2 linked regions of the Anolis sagrei genome follow. The protein of the gene in region 2 binds, or shares a complex with, the protein of the main gene of each other region. Links are inferred from orthologs where the notes say so. Each region holds a gene or a part of one and is shown on either strand. Other genes may lie near its edges.

The links. Proteins that work in one complex are often made in the same cells at the same time.
Region 1: the proteins of F7 (region 2) and POGLUT1 are in contact, whole or in part, in a crystal structure (PDB 5L0S), measured with the Homo sapiens proteins. The link is inferred for Anolis sagrei from reciprocal best matches to the Homo sapiens genes F7 and POGLUT1. Residues at the interface, in NP_000122.1 of Homo sapiens: Asp108, Gln109, Cys110, Ala111, Ser112, Ser113, Pro114, Cys115, Gln116, Asn117, Gly118, Gly119, Cys121, Gln126, Ser127, Tyr128, Arg139, Asn140; in NP_689518.1 of Homo sapiens: Met103, Phe104, Pro105, Ser106, Arg107, Arg132, Asp133, Pro171, Ala172, Trp174, Pro178, Thr179, Thr214, Asn239, Gln240, Ala241, Val274.

Annotation. Positions count from the first base shown.
Region 1 is NC_090023.1:53,208,684-53,216,554, reverse strand, and holds the start of POGLUT1 (protein O-glucosyltransferase 1), read left to right. Parts: upstream 1-4,857; 5' UTR 4,858-4,877; coding exon 4,878-5,031; intron 5,032-7,871. UniProt on the Homo sapiens protein: Dual specificity glycosyltransferase that catalyzes the transfer of glucose and xylose from UDP-glucose and UDP-xylose, respectively, to a serine residue found in the consensus sequence of C-X-S-X-P-C.
Region 2 is NC_090023.1:108,697,257-108,705,233, forward strand, and holds the start of F7 (coagulation factor VII), read right to left. Parts: upstream 3,016-7,977; 5' UTR 2,971-3,015; coding exon 2,901-2,970; intron 1,418-2,900; coding exon 1,257-1,417; intron 39-1,256; coding exon 14-38; intron 1-13. UniProt on the Homo sapiens protein: Initiates the extrinsic pathway of blood coagulation. Serine protease that circulates in the blood in a zymogen form. Factor VII is converted to factor VIIa by factor Xa, factor XIIa, factor IXa, or thrombin by minor proteolysis.

The DNA of each region.
Region 1 (7,871 bases), about 55 Mb from region 2:
TCTGCTAAATTGTGGGTTTGGGGGCTGAGTGTATCTAGCTTCCCAGCCGGCCAAATGAGACACAGATGGGATAAATGAAAAATCAGAGGTTTGTTCTCAAAGGTTAGAGAGGATGTCAGTGGAGAGAGTACTCCAAAGAACTGACTTACCACATCTGCAAATATAGAACATTTTTATGTAATGTGACAGCTATTTAAGATTCACGCAAGCGCCTGATTGGTCCTGAAACTATCCAGCTAGCATCCGCTTCCCGGTTGGTCAGGGATTTCCTCTGACATCATTGTTGATTGGCTTTTGTTGTAGTGGGAAACTCAATAAACTGTCATTGGATTATTTTGCAGTGTCTGTCCATTTATTAATCTGCCCTGGAGAGGGGCGCAACTGCAAAGGAATGCAGTGTGTCTAATGATAATGGTCTGGGATGGGTCCCCATATCTTCAGCTCCGGTGTGGGCAATTGTATTAGGATTGATAGAAAATAGTGTGCTTAAAGGTGTTGGCCAAGTCAATGTCTTTCCATAGGAGTCTGATACAGAGACCTGGGAAAGGGAGTGTTCCCAGGCTAGCCCAGATCATATCATGTAAAACAGGCAAAGGGAACCTAAAGGTTCTGGGACAAGGGCATTGTGTGTCCCCCTCCCATCCATCCCAGTTCATTGCGTGAGGATTATAATTTCCTCTGGGTGAGGGCGAGGTGAGGTACCATTTGGAGGGATTTCCAGGAAATTTTATATAAAAGTTACTATAGGGCCGTAAGAAATAACCATTTGGCTAGTTATACTTTCCCAATGGAGCCATGTCTCATACTTCATACTTTTGAGGTCTATTTTTCAATAACACACAGATATACAGATCATGCTCTTAAAATCATAATCTATATGCAACATTCACTTTTCAGGTGGGGCTTTCGCCCTGAAATACCTCCTGCTCATCTTGAAATACTGGGGAATGATGACCAGGCCTACAGAATAGCGAACTATATATATGATGGAAAAAAAGCACGATCCCTCTAGCTGCATTAAAATCATGCCAACATCCCTAATCTCAGGAGGTAGCAAAGGTGGACCAAAAATGATTATTTATTTATCAGTTCTGAATCTGAACTGGCTCAAGTATTTACAACTCCCCAGAGTGCAGGGGACCAGTGTAGATCTGCCCATGGCAAAAGATATGGATTCTTATACAAACCAATACAAGTATGTTTTTGTTTAACTTGTGTTCAAGTGTTGAGTATCTTCACCATGTTGCATAGGAGTCCCCTTGTGTCGGCAGGACAGAAGGCCAAGAGATCGGAGGTTCGAATCCGGAGAGAGTGCAAGTGAGCTCCCTCTGTCAGCTCCAGCTCCACATGCAGGGACATGAGAGAAGCCTCCCACGATGATGATAAAACATCAAAACATCTGGGCATCCCCTGGGCAACGTCCTTGTAGACAGCCAATTCTCTCACACCAGAAGTGATTTGCAATTTCTCAAGTCACTCCTGACACAGAAAAAAAAAACATGTTGTGTATCTTATGTATATCAAGTAATAACAATGCCAATTAAATCCCTTTCAATACCAGGGTGTAAAACAATAAAATTGTGCAAAAAGTCAAAGGAAGGTGAATACTTCTATAAGGCAATAGTTCCAAAATGTCAGATTGGCTGTCCTTTCTTGGATTTTAAAAGGTTGTCCTTCAAACGTGAAATAATTCAGCCAGGGGAATAATGCTGCACATAAATATGTATACTGGAGAACAAAATTAAGTTGTTTTATGTCTTCATTAGCAAATATTACAAGGTCTATATCAATACTAGAACTCTCTCTCTCTGTGTGTGTGTGTGTGTGTGTGTAAAATCATCTTCAGAGAAGGCTATCTGTCCTCCTAAAACACCACCTTGCAATGTTTATATCTTAATGGAAGATATTGGGGAAAAAACTTTTCTAAAAAGTGAATAGTTTTGTATGTCAGAATGGAAATCTAAATCTCTGGAGTTTTGTCTTGATATGTCTGTCTGCAGTGCAATTGCGTTCCTTAATGAATGCTCAGGGCTCCCTTTTCTAATTTTTGAATTGAGTAAAATGAATTTGCAATTGTTAGTCATTGGAGAGAATAGTTAACGCGCAGCCCCCCTACTGTTTATGTCTTATGCAAACAGTGTCTTCTTAACAATGCCCATTGCAGCTAATTTGCAACTACAGAACTCAAAAATATTGTCTTGTAAAGTTTTAATAGAGCCCCATGCAACTCAATCATCCATTATTGGCGGAGTTTCTCCCGGGACGATTAGTTGGAGGAAGCTGGTGAACTCTGAAGTAGGAAAATCTCAGATGGAAAGCAGATTAATTATCTATCAAGAGATTGGGATCGGAGGAATGGGCAACTCTCCTGACTCAACTTTGAGCAACCTGTTTTTCTTTGTAGCAAGATATTCCTTTGCCTGGAATTATCTCATTTAAAGTTTTGTTGGAGACTTCTCTCTAACGAGACTATAGTTCCTATTCAAAGTTCATTCAGGTAGCAGTGAAGGATGAACTTTCCACTTGTAAAAGCGCTCTTCAAATTCAGATGGTGCTTTCGACATCATCTTAATAGGTCTCATGGTATTACTAGGTTTTTTTTTTTTGGTTTTTATTGGCCAGGCTGTTAATTTATTTTCTTTATCTACTGATACAAATGCCTAAGTTTCCACAAAGAGATCCACTTTCATCTCCAAAAGAATAAAATTGAAAATCCGTTGGAAATAGCAACCTTCTTCAAGCCTCCACTAGTTATTTGTAATGTATATAATTGCTTACTGTATTGTATTTGTGTGTGTTGATATGCAATTTTACTGTAACTCTTTGTTGTGGGAGGGGCTGCAGACCATGTGATCAGAACTGGGATTGTTCAGGACTTTTAGAATTGTATGCTTTAGACTTCAGTAGGAACAGTATGCTTAGAGACTCCATTGGGCTTCCTGACTAGACAGAGACTCTTAGACTCTCAGAACAGAGAGATGTTCTGGACTATGAACTATTGATTCTAAGAAGGATGCCCTGTGTTACCTACATAGAGAAGCTACTTCAAAACTACTTGCAACTGGATTGATATGCAAAGTACCTGTACACTGAATACATGAAGTTTGTGAGTAAACCAACTGTGTTACTTTTAAAGAACTCTGTATAGAGCATGATTTAAAGACAAATATATTTTAAGGGACAGTAGATGTTTTTTGAGTAACTAAAAGGAACATTTCTGAAACTATGCTGAATATACAGATGTGTTTTGTGCATTGACATATATTTGTCCCTAACAGTTCAAAGACATACCTAGGTATATCAGTTTAACAGCTGAGAGCCTATCTGTGGAAGTGGGCACCCCAGCCACACACATACACAGGGGCGCCTCTGCACATACATAAGTATTTTCACCTAGGGCTGCCTCTGCACATACATATGTATTTTCACTTTTATCTGTGGAAGTGGGCACCCCAGCCACACACATACATATGTATTCCCAACCTTCCTAATGCTGTGACCCCTTAATGCAGTTCCTCATGTTGTGGTGACCCCAATCATAAAATTATTTTCGTTGGTACTTCATAACTGTAATCTTGCTACTGTTATTGTAATGTAAATATCTGATATGCAGGATATGTTTTCATTCACTGGACCAAATTAGGCACAAATACCCGATATGTCCAAATTTGAATACTGGTGGGGTTGGGGGGGGGAGGTTGATTTTGTCATTTGGGAGTTGTGGTTTCTGGGATTTATAGTTCACCTACAATTAAAGAGCATTCTAAACTCCACCAATGGTGGAATTGAACCAAAGTTGGCACACAGAACTTCCATGATCAACAGAAAATACAGGAAGGGTTTGGAGGGCACTGACCATGTGTTTTGGAGTTGTAGTTCACCTGCATCTAGAGAGCACTGTTGACTCAAAGAATGATGACTCTGGACCAAACTTGGCACAAATACTCAATATGCCCAAATGTGAACATGGGTGGACTTTTGGGGAAATAGACCTTGACATTTTGGAGTTGTAGTTGCTGGGACTTATAGTTTACCTACAATCAAAGAGCATTCTGAACTCCAGGAAATGATGGAATTGAACCAAACTTGGCACACAGAACTCCCATAAGAAAATACTATGTTTTCTGATGTTGTTGGTCCCTCTGACACGCCCTCGCGACCCTCCCAAGGGTCCCAACCCTCCGATTGATAAACGCTGCTATAGAAGATAGATAGATAGATGTATATGTATTCACCTTGTTTTTAAATCCTATTGTAGCATGCCACTGTTAGCTGCCATGTATCCCTATGGGGAGAAAGGCGGGATTAAAATAAATAAATAAAACAAATATACAAAATCGCTGAAAAATCCTGGTAATTCACTTCTTATCACTTAATTTATATTTGTGCTTATTTTCAATTGATACCATAAGTTCCTGCATTTGTTTTTCTCCTTTAATGGATCTTGCAAAGTTCAAATGTAATATTTCCCTGCAAATATAATAACAATGAATAAATAATAATAACAACAATCTGTATTCTCAGGACCAATATCTGTGGTTGCCTTGCCTTTTTTTCCCTTCCTCGAATTTTATTTTATTATGCTACTGTTTTTTTTAGTTTACTTTCTTTTTGTTTCTAAGCTTTTCCATGTCAATCAAAAGTATTACAAAAACAAATCAGAATATGGGATTGGCTAGAAGTTATCAGAGCCTAGCTGGAAGGATTATTGGGAATCCCTTCCAATGCTGTGATTCTCTGTATGGGAGGAGCTGTTGCGTTGATTGGTAACAAACTACAATGCCCATAGAGCAATCTGAAAAATGCTGGGACCTGTGCGCATGCGCAACATCACAAGAGGGTGGCGCTAGTGGAATGCTAAAGCCTGTCTTTTATCAATGAGCCCTCCGAATGCATGCAGGAGAGTCTACTTAGAGTTCCCGCGCATGCGCCGTGTTGCACTCGTCGCTATGGGGCAGCTCACTGCCGGGCTGGTGCTACAGGTGGCTGCTTTGTCTTTGTTGCTCTTTTGTTGGGAGGTGAAATCCACAGGTGAGTGCAGGATATGTAAGGCCGACCTAATGCTAGTTTCCAGTGGGAGGTTGCACGGAATGCAATTCCTCCGTTGCTCTGAATTGTTACCACTTTGCCTTCCAAAAATACTAGAATATCCAAACTGCATCTTACAGACTCTGTGTTGGTGTGGGATCTGTTATCTACGCTTGCAGTTTCCCAGTCCAGTCCTGGCTAGACTCATTCATGCCTTCAAAACCAGAACCTCTTTGAGTGCATCTACACTGTAGGATCAATGCAGTTTGGCACCACTTTTAACTGCTCTGGCTCAGTGCTATGGATCCTGAGAGCTGTAGTTTTGACAAGGTTTACTTTTCGGGCTGTGGAACCCTGGGATTTGTAGTTTGGTGAGGCAGGAGCACTATTTGGCAGAGAAGGCTGGAGATCTTGTAAAACTACAAGTCATGAGAGTTGTACAAGTTTGCTTTCTGCCCCAAAGTTGCGCAGAAACATTTAGGACAGTGTTTCTCAACCTGGGGGTCGGGGGATTGTGAGGGGATTTCAGAGGTCACCAAAGACCATCAGAAAACACATTTCTGATGGTTTTGGAATCCATTTGGGTTCACAGTGCTCTGTAGATGTAGGTGAACTACACCTCCCCCCAATCACTGTCAATTCATCCCAAATCCCTCCAGTATTTTCTGTTGGTCATGAGTGGTCTCCGCGTGGCCCAATTCTATCATTGGTGCAGTTCAGAATGCTTTTCGATTGTAGGTGAACTATCAATCCCAACAATTACAACTCCCAAATGTCAAGGTCTGTTTTGTCCAAGCTCGACCAGTGTTCATATTTGGGCATATTGAGTATTCATGCCAGGTTTGGTCCAGATCTATCATTGTTTGAGTCCTCAGTGCTGTCTGGATGTAGGTGAACGACAACTTCAAAACTCCAAAACAAACCCTTCCAGTATTTTCTGTTGGTCATGAAAGTTCTGTGTGGTTCAATTCCATCATTGGTGGAGTTAAGAATGCTCTTTCGATTGTAGGTGAACTATAAATCCCAGCAACTACAGTTCTCAAATGACAAAATCATTATCACTCCCCCCCCCCCCCCCATCCCACCAGTATTCAAATTTGGGCATATTGGGTATTTGTGCCAAATTTGGTCCAGTGAATGAAAATACATCCTGCATATCAGATATTTATTTACATTACAGTTCATAGCAGTAGCAAAATTACAGTTATGAGGTAGCAACGAAAATAATGGTTGGGGGTCACCACAACATAAGAAACTGTATTAAGGGGTCGCGACATTAGGGAGGTTGAAAACCACTGATTTAGGATGTCAAAATATTAATATCCTATCTTTCTATATTTCATAGAAGGAAATACGGTCAGATTTTTAGGCTCTTCCTGAAGGCTGCCAGGGTGGGCTCTTACCTAAACTCTCTGGGTGCCTAAAAACAACACATAAAATAAACACACAGTACAATACAAAAAAGTAAAACCAATATCACATAAAAACAACAATTTAAAACTCAGAAAAACACCCAATAACGTATAGTGATGACTGCCATAAGACATGGCCAAATCCTAAACAAGACAAGGGAATGGGATAAGTGCAAATTGTAGCTAAGGAACAAGGGCATGGGATGAAAGTGCAGTGCCGTGTCTCCAGGCAAGAAGCAGACAGGCTTTGAAGCTGCAAGGCCATTCAGTGCTAATCAAGATGGCCAACTGCTACATTCACTTTTGCCTCCAACAGACAAGAGTTCTTTCTCCCACCCTCAACATTCCACAGATCTATAAACCCCACTTGCCTTGTTTCCAACAGACCTCACCTCACAACCTCTGAGGATTCCTGCCATAGATGTGGGCAAAACGTCAGGAGAGAATGCTTCTAGAGCATGGCCATACAGCCCAGAAAACTCACAGTAACCCAAACTGGTTTGGATTCCATGGCAATCTATATGATTGTAAAGGTGTTGGATGTTTACCTATGTGCTGCATGTAAATGCTGTAACCCGCTATGAGTCCCCTAGGGGAGAAGGACAGAATATAAATAAAGTGTATTATTATTATTATTATTATTATTATTATTATTATTGGGATCACATAGTCCTGAGCCATGGCAGTTAAAGTGGTGTCAAATTGCATTGAGTCTACAGTACAGATGTACCCCAAGTCTTTCTCCTAACTGCTGTGTTTAGTTCTCCAACTGCTTCCTGCTAGCACAGGCATGGGCAAACTTCAGCCCTCCTGGTGTTTTGGACTTCAACTACCACAGTTCCTAACAGCCTCAGGTCCTTTCTATTCCCCCTCAGCTTCTGTTAGGTTTTGTGGGATTTGAAATCCAAACACCTGGAGGGCTGAAGTTAGCCCATGCCAAGTTAGCATCTGCGTCAAGAAATACTATTTTTGTTCCTCAAACAAGTTGAAACTAAAACACTCAGCTATTGGATTCTGTAGCCTCTCCATGTGTCAATTGGGAGGGAGGAAGGGAGGGATTGTTTGAGAACATCCTATTTCCTTGCTTTTTCAGTCTACTTTTTCTTGCTTGGGAAAAAAAGATAGGGACACATTATAGTGGTGGACTAGGACTCTGGAGACCAGAGTTCAAATCCCCATTTGGGTGTGAAACCCACTGGGCGAACTTAGGAACGTCACACTGTCTAAACCTCAGAATTTGGAAACTGCAAAGCTCTTCTGAACAAATCATTCCAAGAAAACCTCTTGATAGGTTTGCCATGGATTGGAAGCAACTTTAAGGCACACAAGAATACGAAACGGCAGTCTAGACCAGACATGGGCAAACTTTGGCCCTCCAGGTGTTTTGGACTTCAACTCCCACAATTCCTAACAGCCTCAGGCCCCTTCCTT
Region 2 (7,977 bases):
CAAGCCCTCTTACCTGTGTAGTGTGTCCAGAATTGCATCTGAGCAAAAGAGGGCAGAGGGCAGGGTGGGGGGAGAGAACAAAACAATGTTATCAGCAACTTTGTTCATAATTTTTAAAAACTTCAGTAGATTTAAAACCAAATCTTTAACTTTTGTAAATTGACTTAAGTCCCGGGCAAGGAAAAAAGGCAGATGATGATGATAGTGAGGGTGATGATTTAATTTCACCTTCTCTTGCATAGATTTAAAACTAGGGATAATTTATTTATTTATTTATTTATATCCTGCTTTTCTCCCAAAGTGGCATACAGCATGTAAAATCAAGACATTTGCAAACAAAAATATGAACATGAAGCCCGACAAATAAGTATTTTTCAATTATTATTCCTACAGTCATGGTATTTGAATGGCCTGCAGACCCATCTAGACAACCAGGAACCCAACTGTTATAAGCATCACAAAGCATCCCTGACAAATGCTCATCCAACTTTTGTTGGTTTGTGTGTGTGTGTGTGTGGATGGCATCTAATTGTTGCCGGTCTGTACGCCTTCAGGCTGAAATGGACAGGATAGAAATGATGCAAATAATAAATAATAAATAAACTCACAAGAAAGATGCTCAGACTGCATCCGAATACACTTAGGACCTCATCATACATGCCTTCGGAATCACCACAGATCATGGCAAATCTGGCAGTGCCCAAAAAGGGATGTGGAGAACCCATTGCCCCACGCCTTGCATCCTCCAACTTACCCTAGATCCCACCCCATGAGGGGAAGCGTCCGCTGCCCAGCTTTCCCCCATTAATCCCAATGCAACACAGGAAGCCTCCCTTGTTGCCGCCTGTAATGTTGTAATTTCACTCCAACAGGGATTCTGCCAGTTATTAGAGGCAACAAGTAATCATTCAAAAATTAACTAGTTACTAAAGTAACACATTATAACACAATACTCTTAAGCAGTGACTAAAACCATGTACCTTCAGTTTATCTTCACTGATTCCACTTACTGGTCAAACACCACCTCTCCATCTCTTCTGAATCCTTTCCAATTTAGCTTTCTTCTCACAAACACAAGAAATTTAATTTTCTGAACCGTATCAGTTCATCTTACAGACACAGGCTTCTGTCATTAAATATTCATTTGGATTGAAAACCATCCCACCAAGATACATGTGAAGGAAATTAGTACAACCTTTAAAAAATCACAACTGTAGAAAAAACACAATTTCCCTCCCTAATGCCCTGTTACTTACTGTCCTTTTGTCATCCTTGAATATTTCCCTTGCTTCTTCGAATGAACACTTCTCTTCAAGGCATTCTCTTTCCAGTGACCCTGATTTGAATTCTTCAAAGAAGGAATTGGCTCTCTTGTTCCTTTGTAGTACATTGCTTGCTTCCTCGTGCTTTAAGAAGACTTAAAAACAGAAATCATTGACTAGGTACTTCATCACACTAGAGAATGAATCCACTTTAAAACCCGTTTCTGCCTCCTCAGAATTCTGTGGTTTGTAGTTTAGGGAGGCGCCTTTAACAGTCTCACTAAACTAGAAACCCCACAATTCTGCAGGAGGCAGAAAACGGATTTTAAGTGGGTTCATTCTCTAGTGTGATGATGTTTTAGGTGCATTTATCATACAATTATCTGGAACATCTCCATAGCTGAGGAAAGTAAAAAGTACAGCTGCACTGAATTCCTTATACTTTGTTCATGATGGTAAATATCAACAAGGTTACTCCTCATTTTCAGCATTGCAGGGACATAGTTTAACTACTGTTCATCTTATTACAGTGCTCTCTATTATCAACTCTAACCTTCACCACAAGTTCAGTCGATGAGCTGCTGATGACTGGCACTTCTCATTCGCTTCCGCTGGCTTCCCACTACATGGCAGTGATACCAACTTCCTCCACGAAAAATCCCTGCGAGAGCTACATGCCTTGTAACCTTACTTTCTTGATAACTTTCATATTGTCTATGAGCCGCAAGCATAAAGTGGGACATGAATATATCTCACAAGATCTGTTTTTTCTTCTTCCGTAAATAAGCACTTCACAGAGAATACACACTTCAAAACTTTAAAACTGTTTAAACAACTATTCGATCTTCTAAAGTCACATTTGTTTTGCTCTGTTGACAGTATATACTAAGTAAATTTTATTTTAGATTGAACAAAAATACTTAATTTAATTTTTGTCTTACTGATGGCACTCACATTTTGTGATCAGAGTTGAAGAAATACCTTTTAAGACATTTACAAATATTTCTAAGTGAGTATTAACTAAATTAGTAATTAGAGTAAGTTAGAGATTGTGATGGCAAACTTTATCAGTCAACAGTTTGATCAATTTATAATCCCCTAATCGATTAGGACAAATTTCAGCTCCTTTAATCTTAAGTTATTGGTGGGAGGGATGACACAGTTACATCTAAGTGTGTTGTTGTGCTTATCATTCTGCTTTATCAATGAATCTTATTAGGCAAAAATAAGAAAAAGGCACAATATAGTAAACATATAATATGTTTATATAAGCTTCAGGGGTACTAAGTCTTGCCTGCAAGCACAATTAAAAATAAATACCAATATGCTGAAAACTGAGTAAGATAGAGATGTTTCAGCAACAGCTTGCATTGATATTGTTTTGGGGCTCTTCTGCTCTAATAGTTTAGAACCCAAGAGGCCCTTAACTTTAACCTTAACAGCAGACATCTAAAAACTATAAATGTATCAATGTCATAAAAATAGCTGGCTTAGGAATGAAGTTATTTGGCTGATGTTTAGAAATTTCAGATTTCAAGGTTTTTTGGACTGGCTTTACAATTTCCAAAAGAAAGACAACCAAACTACAACAAAATAACAGTTCAGCATTATATATTAGAACAGTTTTCTGAGTCATACCTGCAGCCTGTGAGATCGGATACACCAGCAAAAGACCTAAAAGCAGAATGTTGAAGTGACGGGAAGCCATGATGAAACTAAAATGCTGTGTCCAAATAGTGTACTGATATTTCAGCAAGAACTTTGTGACCAAAGTTCTCTGTTCCAGTGGCTACAGTGGGAGGAGGGGTACAGAGAGACAGAGGAGGGGGGGGGGGGAACCAAAGCCATAACACAAACATAGCTAAAAGCAGAATGGAGAAGAGTTAGTGTTTTGGATTACAATGCCCAGAATTCCCTAGCCAGTCTGGAAAAGCAGACATTGCTTGATTTAGAGTGCATCTACAAAGTTAATGCAGTTTGACACTAGATTAACTGTCATTGCTCAATGCTATGGAATGATGGGAGTTGTAGTTTGGCGAGGCAAATTACAGTTTTAGCAGAAAAGGCTAAAACTCTTATAAAACTGAAATTCCCATTAATCCAGAGCCTTGAGCTATGGCAGTTAAAAGTGGTGAATTGATTCTACATTGTAGATGGCCCCTTCAGAGAGAGAGAGAGAGAACAGGGTTCAAATCACAATTAAGATCCTAAATGGAAGATCAGATACAGTGTCATAGAATCACAGAGTTGGAAGAGACCTCGTGGGCCATCCAGTCCAACCCGTTGCCAAGAAGCAGGAAAACTGCATTCAAAGCACCCTCGACAGATGGCCATCCAGTCTCTGTTTAAAAGCCTCAACCACACTCCGGGACAGAGAGTTCCACTGCTGAACAGCTCTCACAGTCAGGAAGTTCTTCCTAATGTTTAGGTGGAATCTCCTTTCCTGTAGTTTGAAGCCATTGTTCTTCTGCATCCTAGTCTCCAGGGCAGCAGAAAACAAGCCTCCTTCCTCCTCTCTATGACTTTCCCTCACATGGCAACATGTCTCCTTCCAGCCTTCTCTTCTGCATGCTAAACATGCCCAGCTCTTTAAGGTGCTCCTCATGGGGTTTGTTCTCCAGACCCTTTATTATTTTAGTGGCTGTTGCACTCCAGGACAGGAAAAGGCCCTCTGATTTTAAAACACACCACACGTTGAGTGAAGAAATAAATCCTTTTTATTGAAGCTTAGTAAAATAGCCAGTAGAAAGAAATGCTTGTAAGAAAATAGGAAAGTTCCAGAAAGTAAAAGGTCAGTAAAATGCAGTAACTTAAAGCAATGTCAACAAAAGATATAAAAGCAATCCAAGGCAGTATTTATCCAGATAGGAATCAACAGGATGCAAAGACAATCCAAACACCAAAAGGCTAGAAGTTTCCACAGGAACAAGACCCCTTGAACAGGATTTCCACGGCACATGAACTTGATTTCCAAATGATGCCTGATCTAACAGGTTTTCCTTTGAAGCAAACCTTATATCCCCAAACCCAGAAACTGGTTTCGTTTCCCCCCACCCTTGGCTCTTATCTGAGGAAGCATTTCGGAGCAACGTAAACCTTGAGTTTGTTGTCGGTCCTGGATGAACTCCAGCCACCTGTTTTTCAACTCCCTTTCTGGCTGCTCATTAAATTTTCCAGGTGTCAGATTGTTTTCCAAACCCAAATCTTGAGAGCTCACAGAGCGAGGGAGTAAACCATCATCCATATATCCAGCAGGAATATTCTCATGAGAAACTGCCCTTTGCACTGGAGCTTCTCTGTCATTGTCTGCAAGAAAATCATTGACCAAACCATCTCCATCTTGCACCTCAGCCTCGGCACCACCATTTACCTCATCATTGCTCACAGCATTGCCCACATCAGAAGCATCATGATCCTGGAACACAAACACAGGCTGATTCCCAACAGTCACCTTCCTGTAGACACCTTCCAGCTTGTCACTTGTGGTGCTCATAATTGGACACAGTATTCCAGGTGTGGTCTGATCAAGGCAGAATACAGAGGTAGCATGACTTCCCTGAATCTAGACACTATACTCCTAATTATGCAGGCCAAAATCCCATTGGCTTTTTCTTCTATATTAATCACATTGTTGGCTCATGTTTAACTTGTTGTCCACGAGGACTCCAAGATCTTTTTTCACATGTACTGCTGTCGAGTTAGGCATCCCTCCATTCTGTACGCTTGCATTTCATTTTTTTTTGTGGCCTATAACACTAAAAACAGCCTAAAGCTAAATTATGAAAACTCATAACACCAGGTCGCCAATAGCCATCTCAAATTGTAAACAAATACATTAATTAGAATAAACCTTCATTTGATTGTGAAAGTACAACAAATCAATGGCCAAGATCTCCTTATGGATGGAAATCAAGGTTCAGTGACAAAGTTCAGTGACTGAGACTCTGGCCTCATCTACAGTGCCATATAATCCAGTTTCTGAATGCAAATTGACTGCACTGAACTGGATTATATATATGGCAGTGTAGATCTGGCCTCTATTGTTCTGTACATGTGGAGATAACATTGCAGAACTGTGTATACACTACCTTGAGAAGTTAAATATTTCATTACACAAGGCAGGTAAACTGGCACTGCAGTTGAACCATCGGATTTGGTGACAGTCACTAATTTACAACATTTTGTGCATCTTGCTGCCAGACTTCTTCCTCTCTGATTATCCCATCCCTAGCTATTGATAGGTAAAACTCATCAATTGTTCCCAGTCTCACAATGTTCCTTTCATCTGTCTTGGTGTAATAGGTCCTGTCTGTAAAGTGACATCAGAGGGTGGGATTCTCCAGCTTTCCCCCTCTCCTCCCTCATTATTCCCAATTTGCCCCTTTTCTGTTTATTTTATATTTCATAGATATATTTGCCCCCTTTTTTGTTTTTCATAACTTAAATTGCCCAACTGCTCCAAAATAAAAGTCAAAACGTATGGTACAGTGGTATTGCAGGAAGGCAGGGTGTAGTGAACTCATACCTTTGCTTTGTAGGCCGCAGCCTGGGAGTCAGTGAGCAGGCCTCCCTGTTGGGAGGGTGCTAAGGATAGCTGACATGTTGGGAAAGGCAGAGAGGCAAGGGGAGGAGTCAGCTAACTCCTGATTGGCTCAGACCCCTAGGGGAGGAGTTGAAGGAGTGTGTAAAAAAGGCTGTACTTTCTGTCAGAGAGAGGAGAATGATTTGATCTTAGAGAGAAATGGTTTTGATCTAAAAGAGAGAAGAGGGATTTGATCTGAGAGAGATAGGATTAGGATTTTCAGGCAGGGAGAAGAGAGTTGCTGAGTGAGTTAAGAATTAGGTTGATAGGGAATAATAGAGGGCAAGTGCTTCGGGGTACTTTGGCTTGGGTAGTCAAAGTGAAGGCTTGTTGACTTGTATTGAGAGAGAATACAAGTGGGTTTATTTTCCTACAGTGCAGAGCAGTCTAGAAGGAACCTAGTTACTCTTGCAGGTAGCCAGGGCGGCTGGTCTAAGAAACTTGTGTTATATTCTCTCCTTCCTAATGGGTACATGTTTTCCCCAATCCAAGAGCCAGTGTGACGTAGCAGTTTGACGATTGTACTATGACTCTAGAGCAGTGGTTCCAATCTTTTTTTTTAAGCAGGGTCCACTAGACCAGGGACCATTTTGACCAGGGACCACTCTCCAACATTAGTACCAAAGGGCTACATATCAATTTTTTGGTCAACTTTAGATTCTGTTTGGTTAATTGGGGTGCCAATTCAGAAAATTGCATTGGATAGACCAAATCAGCTCTAGTTTCTGAAACAGAACATATGCCATCCAGTAGTCACCATCTGCTCTCCCACAGAAAACCATATTTAATAATCTAGAGCTGATGTGGTCTATCCGAGGAGGAGGGACTGGTCAGTGACAGGGAAGGAGTGGCAGGTGGCACAAAAGGAGCAGAAATCAAATAAAGAGGAAGGAGGCTCGTGGACCAGATTTTCTTCCTTGCAGTCCACTGGTGATGTGCGGCTTAGAGATTAAGTTCCACTGCTCTAGAGACAAAAGTCTGAATCCTCACTCAGCCACAAAACCCATAAATCAGGCATAGGCAAACTTTGGCCCTCTAGGTGTTTTGGATTTAAACTCCCATAATTCCTAACAGCCGGGAAGCTGGCTGGGATTTTTGGGAGTTGATGTCCAAAACACCTGGAGGGCTGAAGTTTGCCTATGCCTGCCATAAATAAATGTTGTTGTTTATAGATGTGATCAGGGATGCTGGCTAAGTTGTATTTTATCAAAAGCTAGTGGATTTTTCTGATGTTAAGACCTAATATCAGCACTTTATTAAATCCACTATCATTTCTCTTTTCACATTTTCAACCTTTTTTTGAATCAAACTTGCTGAGAAAACCATTCTTCACCTTCACAACTGCTGTGCCAAATTACAAAAATCTTACACAATATCTGTAAGATTTATACACTTTGTTGTTGCATAATGACGGAAGCTACAGAATTACTGATTGCATCTTAGATTTATTCATTCTTCCTCTGCAATAGCAACATCCAGTCTTAAAACAAAAAACACATTTCACAATTTCTTGGAATTGTCTAGGTTCCTTGCACACACTGGCCCCCTCTTAAAATCATAAATTCGTTTTCCGGGCACGAAGTGCCAAAAACATGATGTGGGTTCCAACAGCTTATAAAAGATTGTGTTCCTGTTGTTCATTATGAAAGATAAGTAGCCCAATTTATACTCAAGCCTTCAAAAGTTTATGTCATACATTTATTGGTGTTTAAGCATGGTGTTCTTGCTACTAAATGGACTAACACAACTAAAAGAACAGCATAGTTCAATTTCAGAGATGTTCTTGTGAGACATATTCCACTGGTATGGCAGAGCCAATGGTTTAGGCTTCCAGAGAAAGGCAATGCAAATTCAACAAATAGAAGAGTTCTAGGTGTGAATGATTTATAATGTTCAGTTTTCAATGCCAGAAATTTGGAGAGGAAATTTCAACTTTGGGGGGCTATAGCCCCATGTTCCCCATAACTACACCTCTGCCTTACCATCAGTAAAAATAACGCAGGTGCCCTGTGACTAAGGGGTTTCATCTGACACTTAATATGGTGCTGACTCAAAAGCTAATGACAGAAATGGGTACTTGGTAAAGGAAAAGGTTTTCCCCTGACATTAAGCCCAGTTGTGTCTGACTCAGGG